Ovis aries: one gene and its partner. The main gene of each other region encodes a partner of the protein of the gene in region 2 in a complex. Links are inferred from orthologs where the notes say so. Each region holds a gene or a part of one and is shown on either strand. Other genes may lie near its edges.

Evidence for each region.
Region 1: POLR2B (region 2) and GTF2H5 share a complex: the UniProt entries of both Homo sapiens proteins name them as parts of the TBP-based Pol II pre-initiation complex. The link is inferred for Ovis aries from reciprocal best matches to the Homo sapiens genes POLR2B and GTF2H5.

Annotation. Positions count from the first base shown.
Region 1 is NC_056061.1:82,450,650-82,461,663, reverse strand, and holds the start of GTF2H5 (general transcription factor IIH subunit 5), read right to left. Parts: upstream 7,057-11,014; 5' UTR 7,048-7,056; coding exon 6,996-7,047; intron 6,155-6,995; exon of another isoform or gene 6,135-6,154; coding exon 6,071-6,134; intron 1-6,070. UniProt on the Homo sapiens protein: Component of the general transcription and DNA repair factor IIH (TFIIH) core complex, which is involved in general and transcription-coupled nucleotide excision repair (NER) of damaged DNA and, when complexed to CAK, in RNA transcription by RNA polymerase II.
Region 2 is NC_056059.1:73,135,681-73,146,241, reverse strand, and holds part of POLR2B (DNA-directed RNA polymerase II subunit RPB2), read right to left. Parts: intron 8,300-10,561; coding exon 8,203-8,299; intron 7,065-8,202; coding exon 6,970-7,064; intron 5,977-6,969; coding exon 5,726-5,976; intron 5,646-5,725; coding exon 5,556-5,645; intron 5,085-5,555; coding exon 4,977-5,084; intron 3,559-4,976; coding exon 3,445-3,558; intron 3,032-3,444; coding exon 2,871-3,031; intron 60-2,870; coding exon 1-59. UniProt on the Homo sapiens protein: Catalytic core component of RNA polymerase II (Pol II), a DNA-dependent RNA polymerase which synthesizes mRNA precursors and many functional non-coding RNAs using the four ribonucleoside triphosphates as substrates.

The DNA of each region.
Region 1 (11,014 bases), on a different chromosome or scaffold from region 2:
CCCATCCTATTTCTTGGCCCAAAGGTATAAGATATATTAGAGAAAAAAAGTCAACAGAGCGGGCTCAGGGGAAAGCTAGGTTTTATTATAACAGCAGCAAAAAAGGGAATTGGGGGAGAAGAAAGATGTAAAGTTGAGAGAAGAGGCTGGGATCCAGGGGGTTCCTGCTCTCACTAAGTTCTAGAGGCCAAAGTGGAAAGGATGGGGTAGGGGCGAAGCGGAGGTAGAATTTAAGTGCCGATGAAGAGCCAGAAGGTAGTGAATGTGAAATGATGAAGGATGACCTCGAAACCTGTGGCGTTTTGGGTGACTGAGGGCCTAGGAATGAGAGTCTCAAGGCTGATAATGAGATGAAAGAGGAGAGTGAAAAAGTTGGCTTAAAACTCAACATTCAGACAACTAAGATCACGGCATCTGGTTCCATCACTGGCCGTGCAAGATGGGAGAGACAACAGGGTCTTCTATAAATACAAAGAGAGGCAACGTGATAGTCACAGATTTAAGCAGATACTGAGGATGTTAAATTTACACATGCAGTAACTCCCTAATTTTGGCAGTTACACAGAATAAAAATTTAAGTAAGAAATTTTTGTAAAGCAACACCACCCTGTACGTTGAGAAATCTTACTGAAATAAACAATTGTACCAATCATCCAATCATCTTATTAATCATACCCAGGCTGTAAAATATTTAAAAAATAAAGTTTAAAGAGTAATTCTAGAAAGAATCTGGCAATAACGAAGCAGGCTGAACAGGGTTCTTTCAGATCTTACAGAAATGAAAATGGCAAGGCCCACAGGACAGGGAAACCAAAGCTTCAGCTTCTCTACAACTTCTGTCTTCCTGCTCAGACTCTGAAAAATCAGCTGCTGTCTCAACTGCTCCAAGCCTATACATGTAAAAGGGGTGGGGGTAGGGGTGGGAAGAGGTGGAGACAGGAAGGAGGGCAGTTTAAGAGGAGACAGGTGAGGGGAGACAGAAACCACCCCTTGGTCTGAGCGCTCTGCACCCAGGCTGCTCCCTCCCGTCCCTGCGAGGAGGGACGTGCCTTTGTCTCTCTCGTAGTGACCCTGGGTCCCACTTCACCCTCACAGCGTTTCCTGTCCTGAACTGCCTTAGACCCCACAGGAATCTCAGGATCTCCTACAAAAAGCACACATTCAGAGGCTTCTTAAAAAGATACACTTTAGGTGACAGGGCATACAATAGTTTTTTGTTAACCCTTTAAAATAAATTGGGGGTCTAAATGGAACAATGAGAAGAAAGGACATTATAAATACTGCTGTCTGAATTGATGTTATCTTGTTACTATCTGAGCGCAGTGCATTCACAGACGACACACAACTGACTAGCTACTGGGATTAGAGACAGCAAGGGTGAAGTGGTTGTGAAGACTTTCATCTCCAGAAATTTTATAAATAAAATACATCTGCATACTTTCCATAAAAGTTGAACAAACTGAAACCAAGAAGTGCCAGGGGACTCACATCTGTGCTTTTAACCAATAGGTCAGTGTTTTCAAAATTTCTGCCATTTGCAGACTATCCCCTTGCCATTTTAGCCATCTCCTATTACATGTGCATTACTCAAGTGTTTGTTGTTTTTAATTGCCTTTAAGTCAAATTAACGTTTCAGCTTAACTTCACCTGGTACAAAATCACCAGTCATCTTGATGTTTTATTTTTTTCTGATCAATTAATACAGTCATAGAAAAAGTAATTTTGTGTATAACTAAATCACTCTGCAGTAAACCTGAAATTAACATTGTAAATCAACTATACTCCAATTAAAAGAAAAAAAAAGCTACTCTGATGTAACTTGCCAAAAGGAGGCCTATTGTACAAACCTTTTCTGTACTGAAACTTGAATTCAATCTATCAAGACCCACTCTAGTTCTCACTGTCGTAGTAGAGAAGCTCCAAAGGAACACTAATCATCTGGAATTTAAGTGAGATTATACCCCTTGATTCAATTTTATTACCAAAATTCTTTCAATAAACAAATATTTACTAAGTAGCTCTCTCTCTATATATATATCTCAGGCATTGTTCTGGGTGCCCAAGAAACTTCAGTGAATTTGGCCTTGCTAAGAATAAAAAGCAAAGGCTCACAAAAGATACTATAAATACTGTGAAAGAATAGGACAGTGGTTAGACTGGTTTGGCCTTAGTTCTGATTTGCTTTTCATATAGAATGCAGGTTTGGAAGCCAAAAGTGTAATGACAAGAGTGGTCTAATACTACCTATTTCTCCAGATTCTTTGCGCTCGTGCTGTGAACTGGTTGGAATTTGCACCTGTACTACAAATCTTCCTTGCTGAAGCACTTGCCAAACCAACTGTGCTAAGTATCACACCAGAGGTCTGCTTGAGCACCTGGAATCAGATGCAGACATGTGCTGAGCATATGTGGCTTGCTTCAGTAACTGCTGTGGTTGGCTCCACTCGGGAAACTCTTGGTGTGAGGCTGGCAGTCAACGACAGAAGTGGATCCCAACAAACAGGAAGTTTTCACAAGAAAATCTTTAGCCTCTGGTATTTGGTAAGCGTTGGGAAGAAAGAATCTTATTATATTCATGTACTTTTCAATTTTTCAATTCACTGACAGTTGGGACTAAATGGCCAACGTTATACACTGTTTATTTATCTCTCAATGGAGATCTGTACTCCAATTCACCTAAATGCTTCATACCATCTGTGAATATTATGAGACGATAAACAGAAGTACACAGCTGCTGCTGTATTATCAACAGTCTTCCCTTTGGCATCACGTATAGACATGAGGGGACTGAAGGACTCTTTCAGGTTCCACCACCCCAACAGGTGCACCTACTCATGAAGGAGGCCGCTGGCCCTGGCCATGCCCTTTACGACTCTATTATTGCTTAGGTCTGGAGCCTTCTTGAAAGATCTGAATCTTTGGGAAGACAGCTGCCCTTCTGAAAAATTGTTCAGGCTACACTTTAGATTTCACCATGAAGGGAAAAATTAAGTTTTGCAAGGATAGTTGTTATTGCCTAGTCACTAAGTTGTGTCTGACTCTTATGACCCCATGAACGGTAGACTGCCAGGCTCCTCTGTCCACAGAATTTTTCAGGCAAGAACACTGGAGTGGGTTGCCATTTTCTACTCCAGGAGATCTTCCTGACACAGGGATCAAACCCGGCCGGGTCTGTTGGGTCTCCTGCACTGGCAGGCAGGTTCTTTACCACTGAGCCACAAGGGAAGCCCCTGCTAGGATAGCATCCATCTGAAAAATAAAATCTAGTCCTGGGGCAAGAAAATTCTCCACTGCAAAACTGATTACCAAACTTCAGCTGATTAAGGGCACTGTGTAAAAATCCTTTTGTATGAACAGTTCTGACTTAGGAGATTTGGGGTGAGGTCTGAAATTTTTCCTAACAAGCTCCAGATGGTGCTGGTGCTGCTAGTCTGGGCAATACATGGAAAAACAAGGTGACAGAAGGCCACTAGTGCCCAGGGACAATTTTGAGGCTGGTCACAAGCAAACCAGTGGGAGCTTGCCCCATCAGGAAAAAATACCTCAGTTCCTCTTACAAATTTGCACTCTCTGTTCTTACGGCTAAAACTGAAAGCCTACCACCAAACTTTAATGATTCTCCGAAAGTTTTGCTCTTTAAAGTGCTTCCCAGCTATCATTAAAAAATATATATGCATGTGTGTAATACAATTCCAATCATCATTCCAAAAGGACTATTTTGGAAACAAACTAAATTATTCCCAGGTTATTCCTGAATAGGTAAGAATGACAAAAAATGGATGTGGCATGGGATTAGGGAAGGACAGAAAGCAAGGACAGTAGCAAGGACAGAAAGACGACGTGATAAAAGAGCCATCACATATCATGAGGGAAGGAAATAAATGTTATTGGACAATTATTCAGCTATTTGACCAAAAAAAAAAAAAAAAAAAGACAGCTAATTTAATATGCCCTTTCTCTCAATAAATTCCAGGTGAATGAAATACAAAATATCAATCAAAAGGAAAATATGAAGACCCTAGGAGAGAGGTGAATACCAATCAAATCCAGAAGGAAGATTAAATTTGGAAGAATTGGAAAAAATAAAAGGGAAAAACAGCTGACAATGTGTGTGTGGATCCTCTGTGTTAAAAAAATAACATTACCATATACTGACATGAATCCGCCACGGGTGTACACAAACCCAATCCAGTATTGTAAAGTAAAATAAAGTAAAAATAAAAATTTAAAAAAAAATAAAAATAAATTAAAAATAACATTAAAAGACCAACCAGGAAAATGTTTCTATTAGCTATGACAAAGTAATAAGAAAAATAAAAAACAAAAAGTAGCTCAGAAGTGTTTTCCAAAAGACAAGAGCACAGTATGCTTGGAATTCTGGAATCTAGATCCGTCCCTTGGCTTTCCCAAGTGAACGTTTCTCTCATTTCTAGCGTTTACTTCCATCACCAAACGTTCTAGTCTCTCACGTTAAAATAGTGAAAGTAACAAGCAGCAGAGTATCTTAACAAATCCTTCCTCTGTGACCAACCCATTTCTCTATCCCTTTGCTTCCCAGGTGGCACAGATGGTAAAAAATCTGCCTGCAATGCGGGAGAACTGGTTTCAATCCCTGGGTCAGGAAGATCCCCTGGCGAAGGAAATGGCAACCCACTCCAGCATTCTCGCCTGGGAAATCCCATGGAGGGGAGAGCCTGGGGTGCTGCAGTCCATGGGGTTGCAGAGAGTCAGACATGACTAAGCGACTTCACTTGTTCACTGTCAAGACAGTTTCCACTTCCTTTCCTCCCTTCCCCTTTCTGAAGTATCTATCCCACCTTTCCACAAAATTATTGGAGCTCTGATTTAAAAAAAATAAAAAAAATCAATGACCTCCAGTGTCTTCATCTTATCCAACCTCTTACCACCACTTAACACAGCCTACTTGCTTTAGTGAAACATTCCCTTAGGTTCCCTCCCACTTCACTGGCTGTTTTCTTAATTGTGTTTGGTGGTCTCTCCATTCAAGCTATATCTGCACTATCCATAAAGCAGCCCACTAGTCACACATCACTACTGAGCACCTGAAATATGGCTAGCCTGTGACTATGCTGTAGGAGTACAGAAGACAGTGGATTTTGAAGCTCTATAGTATGGAAAAAGACTTACTATGATTCTGAAGTGTTAATCTGAACTTTGAGGATTTTTTACCTGGTGAAATACTTCAGGTATACTGAGTTAAATAAATTTCACCTGTTTCATTTTACTTTTCAGTGTGGCTACCAGAAACTTTAAATATGTGGCTCATGCTGTATTTCTACTGGATGGTGCTGCTTGAAATGTCAGAGTATGCGAGGGTTTGGTCTTGTTCCTCCCTGAACATTGCCACCACAGAGACAGTATCATCACCCATATGATAGCTCACATTAGAGGTAAAGAAATGTAGACAGTAGTATTTTCAGACAATCAGGGCAGGATTTCCAGGTGAAACAGAACTATTTGGTGAGGCAAAAAAAAAAAAGCAGAGACTGAGCAAGACTGGGCCAGCAGCTCAGATTTTCAAACTGGGGATAATTGAGCCCCACCTTAGCTCTCGGGAGCTAACTCTGCCCACAGCTTTTAGTTTCTCCTTTGGAATGTGTGCCTAGTTTAAGAAACCTTCAACTGGCTCTCCTGTTTTTTTCTCTTTTTTAAAGACCAAAGTTTGTGTGACTTTGGCAGGCCCTAAAATTCTAGTTAATCACTGATGACTTGAAAATACAAGCACTGTTCCCCTAAAGAGGGTTAATTTCACATATATGCTGCCTGCCACTGACCAAAACTTGTTGGAAATAACGCCAATGACATCAATTCAACAGAGATGCTGAAAACTGGCACTAGGAAGAAACTTAGCAACAACATTTGTCCCACCAGTTAAGAAACAAGAAAAATGAAGTTGAGAAAGCTGAAAGACTTGATTCATTCAGATCTTAAGAACAAAACAAAATGGATTTTGGAAACAGTACACATGCAAATCAAGATTCAATGTGCAAAACAAACAAAAAGACTCAATGTGCAGATTTAAAACTTAATAAGTATCAAAACTACTAACCATTCTATAAGCACTCCTTTCAAGACGTTGACCATCTTTTCCCAGTCAGAAGGTGCTGATGACCCTAAAAATGGTAACAAAACCCTAAGGTGACAAAATAGAAAAGCATTAACTTCAATATCCTTTGGTGATTTACTTCTGAACAGAGGCAAAAAATTAAACGCCAAGACTAAACATAGAAGTCTATTAAAAACATAGAGCTAACATTAGGAAAACATACAGATATTCTGATCTTTTAACAAAATTCAAACGAGTCTATTTGGGATAGTAACAATGCACAAATCTTATTTGCAAACAAATCCTACCCCAGTCACTCCTAATGAAAGCCTAATGGGGCCTAACTCCACAGCAATGTGGCCAATCCAGGTTTAGAACAAGTACATTATTTAAAATATTTCTTTTTCCCACGTAGAAATACGATAAAAGGTAAAATTCTGGGAGATAGGAGTCACAGAATGGTAGCTTCGCAAGAGGCCTTAAAAATTATATGGGGGCTCCGACCATCTCGTTTTACAGATGAGATGGAGCAAAAAGATTTAAGTCGCAGCTACCAGCAGAAAAAGAACAATCCAAGTCTCCAGATCTTGTGTTATATTGCCAAATAAAATATGTACCCCAGTGACGTGCGCTCGAAGGTAAGGAACCCATTCAGCGCACGCCAAATTAACTCTTATTAAACTTCCACACCTCGGCGCTGGGCAATGCCCCCCCCCCGCCCCCCCGCCCTCCGCAAAAGAAATGCACAGTTCAACTGCCGCGGGGCAGCCGCCCGGCCTCGTCAGAGAGACAGGACGGAACCCTGTATCCCCGCAACCTGAAAGACAGGTTTCTAGGACTTTCCCCTCCCCTCCTTTTTTCTTGGAAACCCACAGAACTTCCACGCACGCCAGGCTCCCCTACGGCTCCGAGGGCCGACGCCACGTACCTTTCCACCCACAGATCCCACAGCGCCTAGGCACCGACAACAGAGTACGCATGCGCCTTCTACGTCATCGCGACAGCGACGGCCTCGAGGGTGGGGCGCCCCGGCGAGGAGGCGGGCTGTGGGCGGGGTTTATAGCGGGGGCGGGGCGAGACGAGGGCGGGGTCACGTGCCGCCCGCCGCCGGTGGAGGGGCGGGGACTGGGAGCAGAGGGGCGGGGACTGGGAGCAGTGGGCCGGGGCGGGCTCCCAGCGAACTCGGTCCTGCGTGAACGGCCAGGGGGTTGTGGCCGCCTCCGCGCGCCGGCAGGTAAGGAAGGTAGGGCTGGGTTCGTGGGTGGGGGGCGGATGCAGGCGAAACCGGGCACTGCGGGCCGTGGGGCGAGCGGCGACTCGGCGCGGTCGGGGCGCCCCAGTGAGGGCGCGCGGCCCCTGGCTGACCCGCTGACCCGGCGCTGGGCGTGAGGTGAGGGCCTGTTTCCCCGCCTCGGCAGCCCGGCTCTGCTTTCCCGGTCGCCACCCTCCTCTTAATTCCAGTCCCAGGCCCAGAGAGCACCTGCTGGTACCGTCGGCCACAGGAAGGATGGTGAAAATGAGGAGGAAACAAGTCTCCGCCGTTCAGATTGGAACCTTTCAGACCACAGCTTCTATAGCTGTGACGCGAGAGGATGAATAAGATTGAATGCTGATGGGTCCTCCGAGCCCGGAGGAAAGACCCAGAGAGTTCCAAAATTACTTCCTTCTCCAGATTCGGATCTGTAGTCTAATACTCTGGCCACCTGATGCGAAGAGTCCACTCATTGGAAAAGATCTTGATGCTGGGAAAGACGGGGCAGGAGGAGGAGGGAAACAGAGGATGAGATGGTTAGATAGCATCACGCAACCTAATGGATATGACTTGAGCAAACTCGGGGAGATAGGGGAAGACAGAAAGAGCCTGGCATGCTGCAGTCCACAGGGTTGCAAAGAGTTGGTCTCCACTTAGCTACTGAACAACAATGTATTGGAGCTCTAATTGTTTTTTTTACCAGTCGAGAAATGAGGTTTCTTGCTTTCTGTTCCTTAGGTGAAATTGTACTTCTCCAATTGTGTGTGCATGTGATTTAGGAATCTAGCTCTTCCATTTATTTCCCTCTTTCTTTGCTTCAAATCTTTCCCGTTGGTTTCCATGCTGTTGCGCATGCTCGTTCCCTCCCTCTCTCTAATCTGCCCCAACAATAGTTGTTCCTAAATTTATTGTTTTTTTTCGTCTTGAATGCATTTTCCTCTTTCACTGTCTCATCGGTTCCATCCCGTCAAACCTCTATTCTTGTGCGCCAGATGTCAGATGCCTGCACGTTAATGACCTGTGAGAACTCTAAAGAATGCCTCCCAACCTGAATTAGACCTCACTTCACCATCACTTCAAAATCTGCTTTTCTTTCCGTGTTTTTCCAAATCATCTAGATTTAAAATCGCCATTTTTTTTTTATTCAACAAACATTTTGTGCGGTATATGTCAGACCCTATTCTAGACATTGAACTAACAATGGTGAGCTGGCAACTTAATTATAGGCAGGGAAAAGGATACTAAAAATCAGATAACTAGAAGGTTAACTGATAGGATGTGATAAAGAAGGACTGGAAGGGCTGCTTTTGTTAGGAGGTCATCAAAAATGACCTTCAGTTCAAGCAGATTTCTGAATAAAAGAGTAACTTCTACACACCAGCAAAAACTGGGAATTTTAATAATAAAAAGATGCTATTCATAACAGTATTGAAAACTGAAGGTATCTGGAAATAGATCAAACTAAAGGTGCATTGTCCTTTAAGGAGAAAATTATAATGCTCTATTGAAACACATTAAAGAAGACCCAAGTAAATGCACCCATATACCATATTCATTGGAGAAGGAAATGGCAACCCACTCCAATATTCTTGCCTGGAGAATTCCATGGACAAAGGAGCCTGGCGGGCTACAGTCCATGGGGTTGCAGAGAGTCAGATACAACTGAGTGACTATCACCATATTCTTGGGGTAGGAAGACTCAGTACCATAAAGATGTCCATTTTCTCCAAATATACAGATTTGTTGAAATTCCTATTAAAATTGGAATATGGCTTTTCATGGAGCTTCACATGTTGAACCTAACATGTCTATGAAAAGACAGAGCACCTGGAATTCCTCACTCAATTTTGAAGAAAAAGTCTCTGCCTTCTAGGTATCAAAACAATATAATGCCGTAATAATCAAGACTCCTGGCTTAATTACTGGTCTTGATTTAGGGATAGGAAAGTAAACCCATGGAACAGAAGAGAGAGCTTAGAAACATGCTCATATACGTATGGAAGTATACCGCCAAGTAGTAGTATAAAAGCACTGTATTCAGTAAACGATGCTGAGCTACGTGGTATCCATATAGATTTAAGACAAAATTGGATTCCTACTTCACATCATTTACAATAGCAGTTTCCAAATGGACTAAAGACCTAAGTGTGAAAGACACACCTGAAAAATATTTAGAAAAAAATATAGGAGACTATGGTGTTTCTGGGAAAGATTTCTTTTTTGTTTCTTTGTGTTAAATACATGTAACATAAAATTTACCTAACCACATACAGAGTGCAATTCAGGGATATTCATGTTATCATGCCACCATTACTACTGCTTGTCTTCAGAAGCAGAATTACTAACTAGTTAGTAATCGAACCCGAGTCTCTTATGTGTCCTACATTGGCAGGCAAGTTCTTTACCACTAGCACCACCTGCAAAGCCCCAAGATGTATTATAAAACTGCATTAATCAGTACTGTGTGATTTTACATGAGGGTACACAAATAGATCAGTGGAATGCAATGTAGTACAGAAATAGGCCCATACTTATTTAATCAATTGATTTTCAACCAAGGCACAAAGTCAATTCAATGAGGATAGGAAAATGTTTTCAACAAATGATGCTGGGACTATTGGCTATTCATATAGAGGGGGAAGAAATGAACTTCAACTATCTCACTCAAATCAAAAAATTAATTTGAAATGGATCATAGCCTTAATGTAAAAGTGAAAACCAAAACGCCTTTTAGACAAATCCATAGAATATTTGTGACTTTCAGGTAGGCAAGAAAAATTTCTTAGCTAGGACATAGAATGCAACAACTATAAAAGAAAAAAGAATTTGGTTAAAGAGATGTTATGAAAATTAAAATTTCTGTTCAACAGAAGGTACGTTTATAACAATGAATAGGCAAGTCACAAACTGGAATATACTTTACATATATATGCATACATACATATGTGTGTGTTTATCCGTCTATATACATACACTGTAAGGAAGCCTTGCCATGGAGTTGTATTTTGTTGTTGTTTGTAAGTTTAAAGGATTGGAAACGCAGTTTGGGTGGGATGCCAAAGGAAAGTGACTGTGGTGCATCTGAGTCACTGACAAGGAAGTGCCATGTTCTGTAACATGGAAACTCAGAGGGGCCATCTTTTAAGATGTGGGCAGGTGCAGAAGTGGTACAGAGCGGTCACAAACATTTGCTTTTTATAAATTAAGTGATTCACATAAAAAAAAAAGTTGGTTAAAGTTAGCTTTGGTTTCTGGTCTACAATGTGGCCTTCTCTTTAATCAGAATTTCCCGTGGACTGGAAAAGACAGGAAAGCCCACTGATTACTGAACGGTGTTTGCATAGTCTGCCTGGGAAAAGTTGCACTATTCTCTCTCCTCCCTTGTCTATCGTTATCTGTACTCAGTGGAATTCTTTAGCATTCTTTGGCAAAATCTGCTAGATGAGTTCAGATTTTTCCTTCTATTTGTCCTCAGGCCAGCTGTCCTCAACTTCCACAATAGAGTGGAATGGGGAGGGGTGGGGGAGGGGGAGTTCCTGTTCATATAGTTGTCTACATCAGTGTTACTATACATTTTACTTTTTTAAATTACTGTTTCCTGACTCTACTGTAATTGCACCAAACTTCTGTATCATTCATACAGAAGGTGTTATTACAATAACCCATCAATGATAGAATGACTGTCTCATTATGGA
Region 2 (10,561 bases):
CTGCTCCATGCGCGATCTGACAGTCTCGTTCCATCTCTCCAAAACGCAAGCCACCATCACTATTATGGGAAGAAACAACAGGCTATTTTGTACTGATTTTCTATTATCAATACCACTTTGACTAATGGCAAGTATAAAAAGTAGCATTAGTAAAGAATGAGAACTAGACTCCAATTTTTCTACTTTTGTATTCTGTCAGCATGGTTAGGAGGCTAAGAAGGCTACCAACTATTTGATGTGCACTAGAAGGTCCCCAAACAGAGTTCACACATTAGTTTCTTAAATATAGTAAATATACTTTTTCAAATAAAACACAATGACGTACAGAATAAAATCTTGTAACATTACCATTTAACTTATTTGAATTCATCTGTATGCTAAAAATTTAATAATAAAAGTTAATCTAAATAAAGTAGCTTCTCCATGAATGAGACTCCCAAGCAATCAAACCTGAAACAATAAATGCACATTGGCACAACTAATGGAAAGAAGAGGTGAAATCAGTCACAGGTTTCCCCAGCTTAGTAAGTGAAATGAAATGCATTGTTCTGATGGCCAGGCAAGTAGATGGTGATGGCTTCCTTAATATTCTTCTATATAAAAGATAAAGAATGGTTTCATGGGAATACATATACACACACACACACACATATATATATATATATTAATAAAATACATATGATTAAAGAGCTTCTAATGATACTACCAAAAGCAAAACACTTGGTCAGCTTTAGAGGATTCTAAGTAACTGACTCATCATTTTGAAAACTGGTAAATAAAAGGAAAGAATTGAGCATTTATCATGTCTTTTACTATATGAAAACTATGTCACCAGGTAACCAGATGATGAAACAAAATTTCTCTCTATGAAAGTATTCCAGCTAATAAATGAAGGAATGATAAAATTAGAATCTCATCAGTCTGCAATCCCTATTTAATTAAAGGTTTTAGGTACTGAACATTAACAGCTACTAAAGTCACAAAAGAAAAACAACCAGATATGGAAAGTATACAATTTTGAATACTGCCTTTTAAGTATTACTATTAAAGAACACAAACCCTTCACCTCATCAAGGCTCTAAATCCAATTAGCTATTTACAAGAAATAGGCACACACAGCCCAGGAATGCAATCAACAAAAATCCAGACTGTGAGAGGGAATTCCCTGGCAGTCCAGTGGTTAGGACTCGGCGCTTTCATTGCTGGCACCCAGGTTCAACCTCTGGTTGGAGAACTAAGATCCCACAATTCAAAAAATCCAGTCTGTGAGAAACCCTCCACAACAAACAATCCAACAAATAAAGTGCAAGAAAAAAAAGTTAAAGGGTAACCGACAGATTAAGAAAAAAACTTGAGACATATCAATCAGCTACAAACCATGAGCCTTATTTGTATCCTAAATGAAACCAACAAATGTTTTTTAAAAACTATGCAACTGTCAAGAAAATCTAAACACTAGATATTTAATATTAAGGAGGTACTGTGATTGCTTTTATAACTTTCCTATTTTCTAAAGCAGGAGTTCTGAGAGTGTGGTCTGTGGACTCTTAAGGGTGAAAACAGTTTTTATAATAAAACTAATGACACATTTGCTTCTTTCACTGTATTGACATTTGCACTGACAGTTGCCAAAGTAACTGAATAAACTGCTGGCACCCGAACACATCAGGTGGGTAGAACCATACTTTACTAGCAGTCATATTCGCCAGTGTATCTGAAGGGTGAGAAAACCAGTTTTATATAAAGTATGTCATTAATGAAGCAATTAAAAATGATTAGTTTTATTTAACTTTGACTCCTGAGTACATAGTTTTTAACAGTCTGATAAAAGAGTTCTCATAAGGTACTTTAGTTGTATATTAAAGATGGTGGTCTTGAAATAAAGTGCTTGCACAATTTTGAAGTAGTCACTTTTATCATGAAATATCTTTTATACTTGAAAAAACAGCTGACACCAATCATGTTAATTTGCCAACAATAGCACCAACTATGTTAATTCAGCCTTAAGATATTTGGCAGACATTTTTTTCACTCAAGGAAAACAATTTTAAAGATTTGTTGTAAATCATTAAAAATTAGTGTTTCAATCAAAGAGGAGAATTTTAGAAAAAGAAAACCTCTATCCAACCCTCTGAGCTTGATAACCTCCCAATACTTAAAAACTTTCTGATGACATGGTGGTGATATTCACAAATGTGAAATTTGTTTTTTGATATAATGAAATGTGTCAACATGTAAAAATCTACACAACTCAATGAAAATATTTTTCAAATAACCAATTATGAGACTATGAAACTACATAAGTATAAAAGATACACTCAAAGTATAAGACAGGCCAATGGATTTCAACATAAAAGATTCATTTAAGTAGTTCCAAATTCTACATCACAACTAACCTTTAGAAAGGACAACTTGTCACTCTAGTGCAGCATCAAAAAAAAAATCCAGTCACCTGAAAGTTACTATAATATTCTTCCCTTTCAACCATAAATCTGTGTGAGGTCACATAGTTAATTATAAAAAATAAAATCCTGCAATGGATTAAATGCAGAAGCAAACACAAGAATCAAGAATCTAGCTATCTTCTCACAAACCAGTTCATTAAGAAGATTTGCAAAAAGATAAACCAATGTCACTTTATCACTAAATTTATCTGGAAAATACTTTTCACTTAAAATGTTATTTATGTTAATGTATAACGAATTTGTTACTGTTATTTTTTAAACCAAGTAATAAATATTTTAAACCTTTCTCGGTTTTAATTTCTAACATGATAAATATCAAAAGATACCAACTCCCTTTTAGGATCCTGGAATCAAGAAATATTAGAACCATTCTTTTATATAAGATCAATGATGCAGCTCTCTTACCGAGATCTACCCTCCATCGGCTGTCTATTAAGAATCTGAATAGGTCCCCGAGCACGAGAATGAATCTTATCATCCACCATGTGCTTCAAACGCTGGTAGTAAGTGGGGCCAATAAAAATCTGTGATGTGATTTTTCGACCAGTGAATCCATTGTATAAGACCTGAAACAAGCAGATTTTTAAATACAGACTTAAAAATTACTAAACAAGTTCAAAGTATATATGGACATATACTATACAATTCCATTTCTAAACAAATCAAAACAGACTAAAATAATCTATGCTGTAAAAGGAGTAATTACCTTGGGGTGGGGGTATGAAGGTAGTGACTGGAAGGAGACACAAGAGAGCATCAGGGATAAAAGGATTCTGATAATTTTCTTTTCAAGATCTGGGTGCCAGTCACACCTGTGTTCACTTGGTGAAAATTTTATCAACCTGAACATTTATGGTTTATGTATATATTTGAAGTATGTGGTATACTTCAATGAAAGATTTATTTTTTTAAGAATGAAATAACACACGTGCAAAAAAAGAATATACTTAACAAATTACCAATGTAAAAGCAAACATACCTCATTTCCTCTGAGATGGTAGCCATAATCAGATAGAAGATTAGAAATCTTCTGCACATTAACAGCATCATTGAATGGAGTGGCATCACCAATTTCACCCTTGTTAGCTGATACCTTTAAAAAGAAAAGTAATGTTTAAAAGGTTGCTTCCTAAGGAAAACACCAATACAGTATACTAACACATATATATGGAATTTAGGAAGATGGCAATGACGACCCTGTATGCAAGACAGGAAAAAGACACAGATGTGTATAACGGACTTTTGGACTCAGAGGGAGAGGGAGAGGGTGGGATGATTTGGGAGAATGGGAATTCTAACATGTATACTATCCTGTAAGAATTGAATCACCAGTCTATGTCTGACGCAGGGTGCAGCATGCTTGGGGCCGGTGCATGGGGATGACCCAGAGAGATGTTGTGGGGAGGGAGGTGGGAGGGGGGTTCATGTTTGGGAACGCATGTAAGAATTAAAGATTTTAAAATTTAAAAAATAAAAAACTAAAAAAAAAAAAAAAAAGGTTGCTTCCTTCTGTCTCTCTTTAGAAGTCTATGTTAATACAAATATAGTCAGCTAAAAAAAAAAAAAACAACCTTTTTAAGAAAGGGAAGATTGGGGTCATGGAATTGGGGTCACCATGGTAAGGAGCATTCCAACTCACTTCTACTCCTAGCTTCTGGATCTTTGAATATGTCCTGTTAACACTGTCACTAACTCACCTACTTGGGTGCTGCAAGAATTGAATTAAAACTGTGCAAGAATGCAAAAAAAAAAAAAAAGGGAAGATTTTGAACTTAAGATTACAAATTAACTTAAATATCTGTTATGGAAAGCTGTAACATCATAAGGTTCATTTTATTAGCATCTTACATAAAACAGAACTACCTATTAAGTCTTCAAATAGGAAGCTCTCTGTGAGACCACATACAAAAAGAATGAGACTCTCAAATATTTCCTATGACTCAAGGAAGATGACATTTTAATCCTTACAACCAAGTCATCCATGTGTTAAGCTGTAGCCGCTGCTGCTGCTGCTAAGTCGCTTCAGTCGTGTCCGACTCTCTGCAACCCCACAGATGGCAGCCCACCAGGCTCCTCTGTCCCTGGGATTCTCCAGGCAAGAATACTGGAGTGGGTTGCTATTTCCTTCTCCAGTGCATAAAAGCTGTAGCTACTCTACCTTAATAAGATCCTTAAAAATAGAAAACCTCCACTGAAAGACACATGCATAGCTAATATTACAGCTATAAAACCATTAGGTTCACAATGAACTAACCACCACTTATAGAAAAGAACCAGTCAAAAGAATAACCACATATTCAAAGACTGGATATAGTAAATTTTGCAAGAATTTTTAGTCATAACTTTGCAAATTTTTGCAAACAGACAGACAGACATAAACCAACTTAAAAGCAGGAAAGTAGTGTCACACTGGCTTTTTCCACAGTACCCTGACTAAGAATGAGAGAAATCACCTAACACTTTGGAAGAAACATCAATTTGAGACCTATATCTGTAAAGAAAATCTCTTACCTTCCCTTGAAGACATTCAATCAAGTGACCAATGGTCATACGAGAGGGGATGGCATGGGGATTTATGATGATATCGGGGGTGATACCTTCACAGGTGAAAGGCATATCCTATAAAGGAATTTTTTAAAAGACACTTGAAAAACTTAAATCTCTTAGCTATAGAACTAGAACTGATTCTCTTTCATCTGAACTTTGCTATGTCCTAAACTCTGTTCAACACAGTATACATGCTAAGTTGCTTCAGTCGTGTCTGACTCTTTACGACTCTATGGACTGTAGCCTGCCAGGCTCCTCTGTCCATGGGATTCTCCAAGCAAGAATACTAAAGTGGGTTGCCATGCCCTCCTCCAGGGGATCTTCCCAACCCAGGGATCGAACCTGCAGTTCTTATGTCTCCTGCACTGGCAGGCAGGTTCTTTACCACTAGCGCCTGGGAAGCCCTCAGCATAGATGTTCACCTACTTGTTCGGCACTACAATTCAAAGTCAAGCCTTTACTGCCTCTAGGCTCTTAAGTTAAAGCAAATTTTAATAAAATGATCAATAAAACTGTGAGTCAGAGGTGATGAAAGATACCTACCTCCTGTCTATACTGAATACCACAAGTACCCTTTTGACCATGTCGACTAGCAAATTTGTCTCCAATCTGTGGAATTCTAACAGAGCGTACCTGAATTCACATAAAAATAAGTTAGTTAGGTCATTCTGGTTTACTTTCTATAAACAACAATATGACAAAGCTATACTTACCCTTATTTTACAAAATTTATATCCTTCTTGGTTGAGAGTTACCATAACCTGATCCACAATGCCAGTCTCACTAGTCCTGAGAAAAGTGCTACAGTCTCTCTTTGTATAGCGTCTATTAGTGCCCTCCAATTCATCTTCATTTTCAGGCAAGGTGACTGTTTTGCCTATAATAACATCATCTCCTGACACACGAACTCCAGGAGCTATCAAACCATCATCATCCAGCTTGTCATAAATAGCATGTCTCATACCTGAGAAGAAAGAGAATTTTCTGAAATGGTAATACCATAAAGAAAAGTATTTAAAATGTCACATACTCCCTCTCTCAAAAAGATTAAAAAGCAAATATATACATCAGTTTTAACCAGAGAGAAGTTCATAGGAATATCTAACACGTTACAGTAACATGCCCTTATTCCAAACATTACAAACGATTCTGAACTTTAAAAAAAGGCATTGGACTGAGTACTGGAAAATCAATTCTCCATTTGCTAAGTGACTTTGGATAAATGTGTTGCCATCTTTTGCTCCCTATATTACATGAGAAAGAGTTATCTATGTCCTCTATACAAAATCTCCCACAGAAAACTTGAAATCTAAACTGTAACCTTAACTCCACTAAAAATCAGTTCACTGCTACACAGAAGCACCCACAGGAAATGTGAGTACAAAAACGTTTTACTTCATGCAATACTATTAGAAGCCAAAACTGTAGCAGATATTCCCCCAGGACATCCCATCCATCCCAAAAGCTGTATATAGCTTATAAATGTCTGTAAAAATAGTAACTAGAAAATAAATCTGAGTTTTTCAAAAGAAACAAAGTTGTAGACATTCTCTCATTATTTACCTGCTAAATATATACATATACTGTGGCCAGACAAACACTATGGTCACATCAGAATGTGAAGAGGGGAGGAAGCTCCCATGAAAATACATAAACTAAGGGACAGGACACGGTACAAGTGAGAATGAGGCTGGGTGTGTCCCATGCAATTATATGGCCTCTCTACTTTCCTAAATCCTTTCCTCAATGCAGGACCTAGCAGAATAGAAGGACTATAGCAAGCCACTCCAGGTGTAAAGACTTCTGGCAAATATATCTATTTCCTTAAATAGAAGCTCTAAGAATGACTAGCAAACATACTCCCACACTGCGTAAAGAAGGGTGGGAAGACAAAACCCAGAAAAACTAATTAGGAGTTAACTTTGAATTCCATAATTTCACTGTCAGTATCACTTACCCTGGCAAGTTTCACGTGTAGGCTTCTCAAAAACTTCTTCTTGATCAAACCCTTTTTTAGATTCCTGTTCTTTGTATGATCGATAGAAAACAGACCTAAAAATACATGGTTCTAAAGTGAACTTTATTTTCCTTTAATAATACAACTTAGAACACACCAATAATTTTTACTTAGTTGATATCTGATAATTTTAACCATAGCAATTAAACTATGAATCTAGGACAGGAGTTAACTGTATGAGGGTCAAACTTAAGTCCTAAGAGCTAGTACACAGGTCACCCATGTAACATTTGATCCTTAACACAGCTTGAACTGTGAGAACAGGAATACTAAGTCCAACCCTCGACCTAAAATAAGAATCCCTCCCATAACAACCCTCAGAGATGGTCACCCAGGATCTGCCCCAGTATTTCTACTGAGAAATTTATGATATTAAGCTATAATGTCCAACTCTGGTCTGATATCCTCTGACAACTATACAGAAAAAAAATCTATCCTCTCTTCTAAATTCTCAGTTTTTTAACCAATTTTCACATGCCATGGATTTGTGATTAATGTTTGACAATCAAACTGAATAACAGAAAATTAGACTGAAAAAGAAAACATACTATAATTTTAACAGTAGTTATTTAAGGGTCCTAAAACTCTTAGGTTTATCTTTACTTCTTCTTTAGATACTTCTATATTATCTAAATGCAAGTATTTTTTTGCTTACAAAAAAAGGTGGAGGGGGGGCGCTAAAATATTAGTACCTGAAAATACTCAGATACAAGAAACAATCTTTAGCTGTTCAGGACCATCAGTCAGGCCTTCCACTTTCTGGAGCAGGACACTGACTTCACCATTTTAACCCCTATACAGGCAACCATACAACAACCTATGTCTGACAGGCATCCACAAGTTTTATGAATGGAGACAGATTACCTATCTTAACAGAAAAATTTCTCTGCTGTCAGATCAAAATTTCTTCTTGCCTGACATTCAAAACCACCAAAAAATTTGGACACACACAAGTCACACCTTTATTTTTTTCTTTTTGACTGTACCACGTGATACGTGGGATGTTAGTTCCCCAACCAGGGGAATGATGCCCTCCGCATTGGAGGTACAGAGTCTTAACCACTGGACCACCAGGGAAGTTCCCACAGCTATTTTTAAAAAACTTTTTTAAAAAATTAAAATATTAGTATTTCCACTATATCTGTATTTTGGAATCTGTTATAAATAGCTGACCTGAAAAAGCCTCTGTCTACAGCTGAACGATTCATGATAACAGAGTCTTCTTGATTATATCCAGTGTATGATGCAATGGCTACAATTGAGTTGATACCTGTAGTATATTCAAATAGCAAACATTAAAGCATCACATGAGAAACAAAGAAAAATTACCTCTTTCTTTTAAATCTATCCTATTTAACTACATTTACCACAGATGTTTTCACCATGGTAACTGCCAAAGTCTACTCCTCCTGGAAGAGCAATCTGTGAGAAAACTACTCTGATGGTTAAATGTTTAATATACGCAAATCCTAATAGTAGTCACTCCCACTGTATCCACTTTCTAGTCAGTGATTATATACATGTAACCGTATATTTATAAAGTCCCTCCCCCAACCAGGTTTCATGATTCTCACCACAACCCTGTGCCATAAACAAGGCATTATTATTATTATTTGCGTATTAGAAAGATCTAACAAAACTTATCCATGATCTCAAAGTTAATAAGCAATAGATTCACGTCCCAGCTCTTGTCTGCTGACCTTGAGTTTGACCTGGTACCACTCTATCCCTCTCTTCGCAGCCCTGCTCTGCTCCTAGATCCTCTCCCTATACTACAAAGAAAAGTGGTGTTACCTTTTCTACCTCAATTTTATTTAGTTGCTACCTCCAAAACTATTTTTTTTTTTCAAAACTATTTTTGATGAGACCTTAAGACTTAAAGTATCAAGTATTGACAAACAAAACTGATAAACCTTTAGCCACACTCATCAAGAAAAAAAGGGTGAGGGCACAAATCAAAAATCAGATGAAAACAGACAAGCTACAACTGACACCACACAAATATAAGGAGTCAGAAGAGATTACTATGACTATATGCCAATAAAATGAATGGACAAATTCTTAGAAAAAGACTGAACCAGGGAGAACTAGAAAATATGAACAGACAAATCCCAAGTACTAAAATTGAAACTGTGATTTAAAATTTTCCGACAGACAAAAGAGTAGGACCAGATGGCTACAGAGGCAAACATTCAGAGAAGAATTAAGACCTATCCTCCTGAAACTATTCCAAACAGTTGCAGAGAACAGAACACTCCTAAACTCATTCATTCTATGAGATCACCATGACCCTGATACCAAAACCAGAGAAAGATACCACAAAAAGAGAAAATTACAGGCCAGTATGCCTGATGAACACAGACACAAAAATCCTGAACAAAATACTAGCAAACTAAAGAAAAAACAAAACAAAATAAGAGTTACCACAAAATCCAGCAATTCCACTCCTGGGCATATATCCAGAAAAGATGAAAATGCGAATTCAAAAAAACACATGCACCCCAATGTTCATAACTGCACTATCTATAATAGCTAAGGTATGGAAGCAACATAAGTGTCCATCAACATGGTCAAGCTGTAAAATGCAGAGAAAGTACATAAAGATGCCGGATCCTCAAGGTAGGGGGGAATCTGAAGATAGATGACAATTTGCAGAAATCCCAGGGTCTTGGGAGATGTGATGTGCTCACTCCTACTGCTATGGAAGCCAGCAGCAGGATTTACGTGACGTTTGTGATACATGGAATGGGCAAGATTTCCCTTGTACATCCTCACAACATACAGTGCTACCTATGGCCCTCCCTCTCATCAGGTGACATAGCCTGTAGGTGCTAAATGGTCTTGGCCCTTGTAGGACTTTCCTCCTCTGCTGTGACAACCCCTGACAGCCCACACACGCTATATCTACTACATCCCAGGAAGCAATCCCCTCCATCCTACAACCTTGATCCAAGGTACGCAGGCAAGTCTGAAAGATCAGCTAAATTTAGCTAAAAGCAGTAAACTTCTGAGTTTTATTTCTAATACATTCTTCTTAGCTTAAAAGCCCCAAATCAAAAAACAGTGTAGTGAAGAGGAAAGAGAACAAAAAAGGAAAATGGGGGAAAGACCTATTTCTGGTCTTAAAAAAAGCCAGAGTTTGCATTCTGGGTTTACAAAATAAGTTGTACAACTTCGGGGAGATAACCTTTCTGATCCTGTCTCCACAATTGTAAAACAGAGAGGATACAACCACCACTATTACTAATCAGCTAACATTTATTTCTCCCTTATTAACTGGTAGGCAGAAAGCCATGAGTTTTAAGTGGATGTAACCATTTAATCATCACAAAAGCTTTGAGGCAGTTTGTACGTGAAAAAACATCACAAAGCTTTTATGATGCTTAGAAATAATATGTGTAAAGTACTTTGGATGGTATTTCACAAACTGCTCAAAAAATACCAGTAATTTTTAAAACATTATCTGTTATCTCAAAGACTTATCAACATGTGAAATCTAGGATTACAATTCATCTGTCAGTCAGGCCCTCCC